Daphnia pulex: one gene and its partner. The protein of the gene in region 1 purifies or fractionates together with the protein of each later gene. This does not show direct contact. Links are inferred from orthologs where the notes say so. Each region holds a gene or a part of one and is shown in the gene's direction. Other genes may lie near its edges.

The links.
Region 2: the proteins of heat shock protein 83 (region 1) and activator of 90 kDa heat shock protein ATPase homolog 1-like fractionate together in Caenorhabditis elegans (co-fractionation; 3 studies listed by BioGRID, with this or other methods). This does not show direct contact. The link is inferred for Daphnia pulex from reciprocal best matches to the Caenorhabditis elegans genes hsp-90 and ahsa-1.

Annotation. Positions count from the first base shown.
Region 1 is NC_060026.1:16,238,340-16,242,869, forward strand, and holds the start of heat shock protein 83, read left to right. Parts: upstream 1-1,691; 5' UTR 1,692-2,204; intron 2,205-2,343; coding exon 2,344-2,606; intron 2,607-2,670; coding exon 2,671-2,962; intron 2,963-3,030; coding exon 3,031-3,660; intron 3,661-3,727; coding exon 3,728-4,530. UniProt on the Caenorhabditis elegans protein: Molecular chaperone that promotes the maturation, structural maintenance and proper regulation of specific target proteins involved for instance in cell cycle control and signal transduction. Undergoes a functional cycle that is linked to its ATPase activity.
Region 2 is NC_060018.1:236,731-240,765, reverse strand, and holds activator of 90 kDa heat shock protein ATPase homolog 1-like, read left to right. Parts: upstream 1-1,425; 5' UTR 1,426-1,604; coding exon 1,605-1,684; intron 1,685-1,748; coding exon 1,749-1,828; intron 1,829-1,891; coding exon 1,892-2,001; intron 2,002-2,063; coding exon 2,064-2,271; intron 2,272-2,361; coding exon 2,362-2,687; intron 2,688-2,745; coding exon 2,746-2,882; intron 2,883-2,950; coding exon 2,951-3,038; 3' UTR 3,039-3,241; downstream 3,242-4,035. Other genes in the region: sepiapterin reductase-like, read right to left, coding at 1-398; uncharacterized protein LOC124188718, read right to left, coding at 520-845, 907-1,090; roundabout homolog 2-like, read right to left, coding at 3,855-4,035.

The DNA of each region.
Region 1 (4,530 bases):
TTGAATACAGAAAAATAAGGCCACGTACAAGTTCCAAGTAAGCCGAAAGGACCGGAAAAGTAACCCCCGCAAGCTTTTCAACCAATTCGCCCACGGAGAAAGAAAGAAAAATTGCGCGGAATAACGATGGCGCAAATTTGATTCAATTTGAAAATCGTTTTCAACAAAAAATCATTGATTAATCAGTTTTGTTTTGAGTAGAATTTTTTCTACATACTTTGTTGAATTTTAAAAGAATTACTCTTACTTGCATGTAACAAAAAAAGCATTTTCTACATTTAACTACTTGAATTGTTATTGACAGTTTTGATTTGAAAATCTCATCTTATTACACAAGCAAAAGTAAGAATAGCTTTCAAAATTTTTTTCAGCCAGTAAAAACTGCTAATCTTTTAAGTTTCCAACTTCCAAACAACGATAAGGATTAAGGAAGCAAAATAATAAAATATACACCAGCAGACAGAAAATGTTTTCCTCTGAACAAAACTTGCAAACAATCTTGCAGGTTTTCTCATTTAATTTTTTCCGATATCTGTTAATTTAGAAATCGATTAATTGATCGTTTGCTAACATCATCAAAGCCTTTTATTTAAAACAATTAATTATATTGTGTTGAAACGTTCATAGATATTTCATGGTTCGTGCATTGTGCGCACTGGTAGTTCTGACACCTGTCACTACTCACCTGTGATAAAAATAATTAAACCAGATGGTTTGAGTTTGACTGCTGGAAGTCCATCTTGCACCACACAGCCTACCATCATCTTAAAATCGTCACACCCTTTGCGACTCATAATTACTACATAAAGTTCATTTACGATTAAAATGTTGGGAGTTGGTTAATGGCAATAAATAACAACAATTGGAGGTCAATTACGCAACGTTGATATGACACACCTTCATTCCTTGATCTCTACAAGGGAATTGGGTTCGGCAACCTAGGCCATTGACATAGAGGAAACCCAACAGAGGAACTCGGTGTGTGTAAACCTGTGTCTAATGCCGCACTGCAGCATTCGACGTTGGGGCCTAAATTCAAGGAAAATATCTGTTTCGATATAAATACGAACAAGTTTCCTGGAAGCCTGGAAGGAAAGAATGATAATTTCTTAGTCAAAATCTCGTTATGAGTCACACGCCATAGGTGAAATTCAGTAAAAACCTTAATGTGAATTCCACAAGATAAAATTGCTCTTGGAGAACTCAATGTCAAGCTTCTGTTTACTTCAAGGCTTTAAAGGGCATTCCTATCTGTCACCTGAATTAAATTGTTTTGCCTGAAGCTGAAGAATTAAAAAAAAAATCTTCTTTATTTTTTTTCTGTACAAAATTTATAACAACAAGAATTTTGTTGTACAGGTTTACAAACTTTATAACTCGTTGTAATCTTATCGACTGAGTGAACAAAAGATTTCTGAAGAAGAAAAACCACGTGGGGTTTACCAGACGTGAGGCTTTCTAGACGTTTCTCGAATCTCGACTCGCTATTACAAAGGCAAAAGGTGAACTATGATTTCACCGTTTCTTACAAGCAAGAATGCATTATTTACGAAAAAAGCAATAATGCAGAAAAAACTGAAACATTTCATTACATGATATTATTAGTCAAAATTAGTAAGCATGTGTCAACTGGTTGGTAATATGATAATCCCAGACCAACTCATACAAACAGATGCATTAGACAGCAGATGGGACTTGAATTGACGGTTAAAAACGGTTACGAACACCGAATCAACGATCCGTCAAAACACATGGTCGGTAGACTCGGTGTCGATTTTTTGGAAAACATTTTAAATAATTCAAAAAATATCAGTAGCCACTCAAAATTCAAATTCCACCAATACTTGAGAAATATACAGAATTTGTGTGAATTTAAAAATTAAAAATAAGGTAAATTGAATGAGTTTGTGTGTAATTGTTTGAAAGCGGCAACACCAAGACTTCCTTCGGTAAGGAACATTCTCGATTTTTCGAGAGAATTCGAACCCCCTCCTCCCCTATGGTTTGTTCTAGTAGCTTCCACTACTACAACGTTGGATTCCCCGGGTCCCTCTTTGATATAAGGCCTCCCTCGTGTTCGACTCTTCACAGTCTTCAACCGGCGATTGAGCGAAAAACATCGCATCTCCACACGGGAAAAACTCTCCACGAGACCATTCTTGCAAACAATCTTGTGTTCTTGTTTAATTATCTTCTAAAGCAAAGTAAGTTTAAAAAATAATTGCTCATTTACTCATTTTTTGATATGCCGCTAGTACAAAAATATTTTGAATTTGAATTATTGAGTCTAATGTACCACGATTGACAAACGTTTCTAACTTAAATATATTTGTCTGTGTTTAGATGCCTGAAGAAGTTCAAATGGAAGCCGAAGCCGAGACTTTCGCATTCCAGGCCGAGATTGCTCAGCTTATGAGCTTGATCATCAACACCTTCTACTCAAACAAAGAAATCTTCTTGCGTGAGTTGATCTCCAACTCCTCAGATGCCCTAGACAAGATCCGTTATGAATCCCTGACTGACCCTAGCAAGTTGGACAGCGGCAAGGATCTTGAAATCAAGATTGTCCCCAACAAGAATGACCGTACCCTCACTCTCAGTGATACGTAAGTTTAGAAGTCAAGTTTTTCTGATTAGAGCAATTATTTAACTGTACTGTGTCTTCTTTAGTGGTATCGGCATGACCAAGGCTGATTTGGTTAACAACTTGGGTACCATTGCCAAGTCTGGAACCAAAGCTTTCATGGAAGCCCTCTCTGCCGGAGCTGACATCTCCATGATTGGCCAGTTTGGTGTGGGTTTCTACTCTGCATACCTGGTTGCCGACAAGGTGACAGTTCACTCCAAGCACAATGATGATGAGCAGTACGTTTGGGAATCGTCAGCTGGTGGTTCTTTCACCATCAAGCCTGATCACGGAGAACCCATGGGTAGAGGAACCAAGATTGTCCTCCACTTGAAGGTATGTTTCTTTGTCTTCGCTGGCTTAATTTCCTGTATGCTAATATTTGTTTTTTCTTTAATTTGCAGGAAGATCAAATGGATTACCTGGAGGAGAAGAAAGTCAAGGAGGTTGTCAAGAAGCACTCGCAGTTCATTGGCTACCCAATCAAGCTTTTGGTCGAGAAGGAGCGCGACAAGGAAGTGAGCGACGATGAGGCTGAGGAGGAAGAAAAGAAGGACGAGAATGAGGAGAAACCAAAGGTCGAAGATGTTGGTGAGGATGAAGAAGCCGACAAGGAAACAGACAAGAAGAAGAAGAAGACCATCAAGGAGAAATACTCTGTCGATGAGGAGCTCAACAAAACCAAGCCCATCTGGACTCGCAATCCCGATGACATCAGCCAGGAAGAATATGGAGAGTTCTACAAGTCATTGACCAATGACTGGGAGGATCATCTTGCTGTCAAGCATTTCTCCATTGAAGGCCAGCTTGAGTTCCGCGCTCTCCTCTTCGTCCCACGTCGTGCACCTTTCGATCTGTTTGAGAACCGCAAACAGAAGAACCACATCAAGTTGTACGTCCGCCGTGTCTTCATCATGGACAACTGCGAGGAGCTCATCCCCGAGTACCTCAACTTCATGAAGGGAGTCGTCGACTCTGAGGATCTTCCCCTCAACATTTCTCGTGAAATGCTCCAACAAAACAAGATCTTGAAGGTAATTTATTCTATTTCTTTTGTCAACATCGTTAACTGAAACTAATTATTACTTTTCTCTACTTCAGGTCATTCGCAAGAACTTGGTCAAGAAATGCATGGAACTTTTCGAGGAGTTGGCCGAGGACAAGGAGAACTTCAAGAAATTCTACGAACAATTCAGCAAGAACTTGAAGTTGGGAGTTCATGAAGATTCTACCAACCGTAAGAAGATCGCTGACCTCATCCGTTACCACACTTCCGCCTCTGGAGAGGACCAGGTTTCCTTCAAGGAATACGTTTCCCGCATGAAGGAGAACCAGAAGCACATTTACTACATCACTGGCGAGAACAGAGATCAAGTCAGCAACTCTTCCTTCGTCGAGCTTGTCAAGAAGCGCGGATTGGAGGTCATCTTCATGACTGAGCCCATTGATGAATACGTCGTCCAGCAGCTCAAGGAATACGATGGCAAGCAGCTCGTCTCCGTCACCAAGGAGGGTCTGGAACTCCCCGAAGATGATGAAGAAACCAAGAAACGCGAGAGCGACAAGGCCAAATTCGAAGGTCTCTGCAAAATCATGAAGGACATCTTGGACAAGAAGGTCGAGAAGGTCGTCATTTCCAACCGTTTGGTCGAGTCTCCCTGCTGTATCGTCACCTCCCAGTACGGCTGGACAGCCAACATGGAGCGTATCATGAAGGCCCAGGCTTTGAGGGATACCTCCACCATGGGTTATATGGCCGCCAAGAAGCACCTGGAAATAAACCCCGATCACCCCATCATCGAAGCCCTTCGCGTCAAAGCAGAGGCTGACAAGAACGACAAAGCCGTCAAGGATTTGGTCATGTTGCTGTTTGAAACCTCTCTGCTGTCATCTGGTTTCTCCCT
Region 2 (4,035 bases), on another chromosome or scaffold:
CCGCAGAGGGAGGACATGTTGACGACCGTTTTGCGCTGCTGGACTGGGCTGGAGGCGAAGCGGCGCAAGAAAATCGCATTGAGAACGACGACGGAAGCCAAATTGAGCTGAAAGTATTGGACGCACGAGTTCACCGAGACCAGATCGGTGCAACGCTTGGTAGCGTCGCCCAGCGATCCGGCATTGTGGACGCACAATGCGTGGGCAAAGGACTCGGCCGATTCACCAGCCAAAGCAGATGAGACGACACCATTCAAAGCCGACTCGTCACAGCTGGATAAGTCAGTCACGCCGACATGAACTCGCACTGACGGTCGATCGGTTTCGATGGCCTTCTGTAACGAATCCAAATCTTTTTCGTCACGGGAAATCAGCAAAAGGACAGAGTCCGCGCCCATTTGTTTCGATATTTTCTCAGCCAGAGTCCTCCCTATGCCACGACTGGCACCAGTCACTATGGCAAAGGTTTTCTGATTCCAGTAACACGACTCATCCATTCTTCTTCTATTCATATGATGGTTACTCTTGCTGGTTGTTAGTCTCTGGTGTGTCTTCCTCAGGAGTATTTTCTTGCAACTGATCTGCCTTTAAGAGATGGACCAGCTCTCCAGTTGTCACTGCTTGCAAGTGAGGTGCTACGTGCCGAATCACTGTGCCAGACAGAGACTCCTCGACAGGACAATCAAAATTTTCAATTTCACCCAAGCCTTGCAACTGAGAAAACTGTGAATTCAATAAACGGTCAATGTGGCCCTCACGAGCTCCTGCCAGAGACAGCAGCAAATCTCTTTTCTCAGCCCCACTGTTTGATGAAGGGGTTTTCCGTAATTTGCACAACTTCTTTTCTGAAAGGGAAATCACATGTAACCCAAAAGAACAAACAAAATATACATGTGGATCACATACCTAAATTCTCCAAATAAGTAGAAGAGTCGGGTAATGGCTGGAAAGATTCGTTGGAAGAATCGACTTTATTGTCTTTGGAATCAGCTGATGGACAAAAGTTATTGTCAAAGTGCAGGTGAAATTCGTTCGGTTCAACAGATGAGGTGATATTTCCATCAACAGTGCTTTCCCAAGGGTCATCCATTCAGCACAGTCTGAATGGGAGATAATCGGGACGTTGATAAATTATAGAAACACAAATTCGTGTTAACCGTCAACTAAACAAAAGAAACATTTACCGATAGGTATTCTACCGCCGAAAGAAACGTGTCACCCACACCCCGATAAGATGGCGCTGTCCTCTCAGGGTAATCGAGAAAACTTTAGAAATAAACCGGTTTTCACTGTTATTAAGATGTATATATTTAGAAAATTATATTTTGTATAAAATAATTAATTATTTAAATACACATCGGATTATTTATTCACATTTTAAAATTCATTCAACAAATAGCAGACGAAATCTAGTTGTTACGTCAATTGAAAGATGGCACTCGACTTTTCGAGCATGTTTTAGAACTTTCTGGTTAAAATACTAGTAGATCCTTACCGATCCTTTATCCTTGTTTCTCTGCTCGCACTCGAGTGCAGATCATACAGTCCTGTCGTAATTGTAGTGCCAGTTGAAGTTCGCTTGTGTTTTCCTAATTGGAATAACGATGGCCAAGTGGGGCGAAGGAGATCCACGGTGGATCGTCGAAGAGAGGCCAGATGCCACTAATGTGAATAACTGGCACTGGTAAGTATATCTACCGGAACCTGCTTATACGACGGCAATTTACTAATTATACCATTGTTTACAGGACAGAGAAGAATGCATCCCAATGGTCTAAAGATAAGATTGATGAACTCTTAAATGGCCTGGAAATAAATGACATAATTGGTAACATTCATTACAATATGTTAAGACTCGAAAGTTTTACATCCGACGTTTTATATGTTTTAGGTAACTGTGTTATAACTGAAATAGAGAAGATGGAAGGAGAAGCCTCTGCTAACAATCGCAAGGCTAAACTCATTTTTTTCTTTGAATGGACCCTCCATCTCAAGTGGAGTGTAATGAATGATGAAAGGCATACAGTAGTACTCCCATATTCATAACTATCATCTTATTACAGGGGAAAGTGAGTGGTACCACTAAAAATATAGAAGGCACCGTCATCATCCCCAATTTGAGTGACGAAAACAATGCCGATGAGGTTGATGTCAACGTCACAACATCTGCTACAGGCCCTGATGCAGATGCCATGAAGCAGTTGATGCGAACTGTAGGGGCCAAAGTGATCAGAGAACAACTTGCAAAGTACATTAAAAGTTTAAAAGAAGGTTAATAACAATATATTTGTGTTTTTGTATGAAAGTTGATGTATCGTTAATGCTGATTCTTGTTTTGTTTCCCCTTTGTTGTTTCATCAGATTTTACCCAAGGTATGATTTTACCGAAAAAGGATACAGAAGTCAAAAATGGCGACAAGACCCAAGTTACCAAGGATCCCGGTGTGAAACTGCCATCTTCTGTTAGTACTCCCGATTTGAAACAATTGCAGATTGGAGTAAAGGTTGAAATGCAATCGTATACGTGCAACCAGAATTTCAAATGCCCACCAGTTGAATTGTACAACGTCCTAACGCAACCCGAATTGATGCGAGCATTTACCTGCGCCTCGGTGCAGGTCAATCCTTCGGTCGGAGGCAAATTCAATCTCTTTGAAGGCAACATAACCGGGACCTTTGTTGAACTGGTAAGTTATTCTACTTTGAAATGTGAAATGGTGCAATCGTCAATAATCTTTTCCATAGTTGCCCAACAAGAAAATTGTCCAGAAATGGAGATTTAGAACCTGGCCAGAAGGTCATCATTCGACGGTGACTATAGAACTGAAAGATGAAGGAGACTCTACGAAGTTGTCGTTGAGTCAGAGTGGAATTCCCTCTACGTAAGAAATTGAGTTTTATAATTGATGCATTCAAGTTTATATTTGAAATTTTTCTTTATTTAAAACAGCGAATTCGACAAAACTGTCGAGGGATGGCAAAGATACTATTGGGAAGCGATCAAACGAACTTTTGGTTTCGGCGCATTTCTTCTTTGATCACCGGCCAGACAAAATGACATACCTCTCCTATCGCTCTCACAAAAATCCTTTTGTCGCCTGTATTTGAGCTATTTACACTTGTCTGCTGTCATGATTAGTTCAATTCAACAATTTCTTTTTTTTTTCGGTTTTCCTTCTCTGGATCAAAGTTTGGTTACGTAATCTTGGAAGAAAATGAACGGAACCAATTCCTGATGAAACCAAATCCTCAATTATTTTTATTTACTTTCCATAATTGAAGGTGGCGCGCAAGCTGCTGTTGGGGGAAGAGGTGGGTGTAGTACAGCTCGGCGCACCGTACAGCCACGAATATTTACATCCATATAAAAATCCATTCAAATTATTACAGTCAAGAAACTGAAAGTGGGAAAGAAAACAGCCAATTAGAAACGGGTTGACCTGTTGGAAAATTATCACAGCACATTGAAAGTTTCACATCAATAGAGAGACAGAATAATAATTATATAATCGATCATATATTATATTATATGTAGTAGAAACACAAAAGGAAGGAAAGAAACGCTCACAACGCCAAAGCGATTATTATTATTTTTTTGGGGGGAGTATTTTTTCGAAATATTTAAAAGTTGAAACACGCACACACAAGTCACAAATGTTTACATGTCGAGCCTTTTGTCAAAATAATAATTCATTAGAAGAAATTGTGTTTCTTTGGTTAGCCTTTTCCAAAGGAGGGAGGATTCTCCTGGGTAGAGAGAGACGTGACTAGAGTCGAGTGTGAATGGGTAATTATTTTATATATATAATTATTACCAATTTTGGCTTTTGGCATGTCCTTAATCATGTCTCATTTCAACGATAAGACGACAGCGGGTAAGGGGGTTCGATTTGGTCATAGGTACAGGTGGCGTAGAGGCCCTCGACCTCTTGCGGGATGACTAAATCCTCGCTCTGGTAGCGACTGGATTGGCGGTGCAACTGCCGCAAGAACAAGGAATTGCGGGCGTGTTGGTTGGGCAGGAGCGTCGGCTGG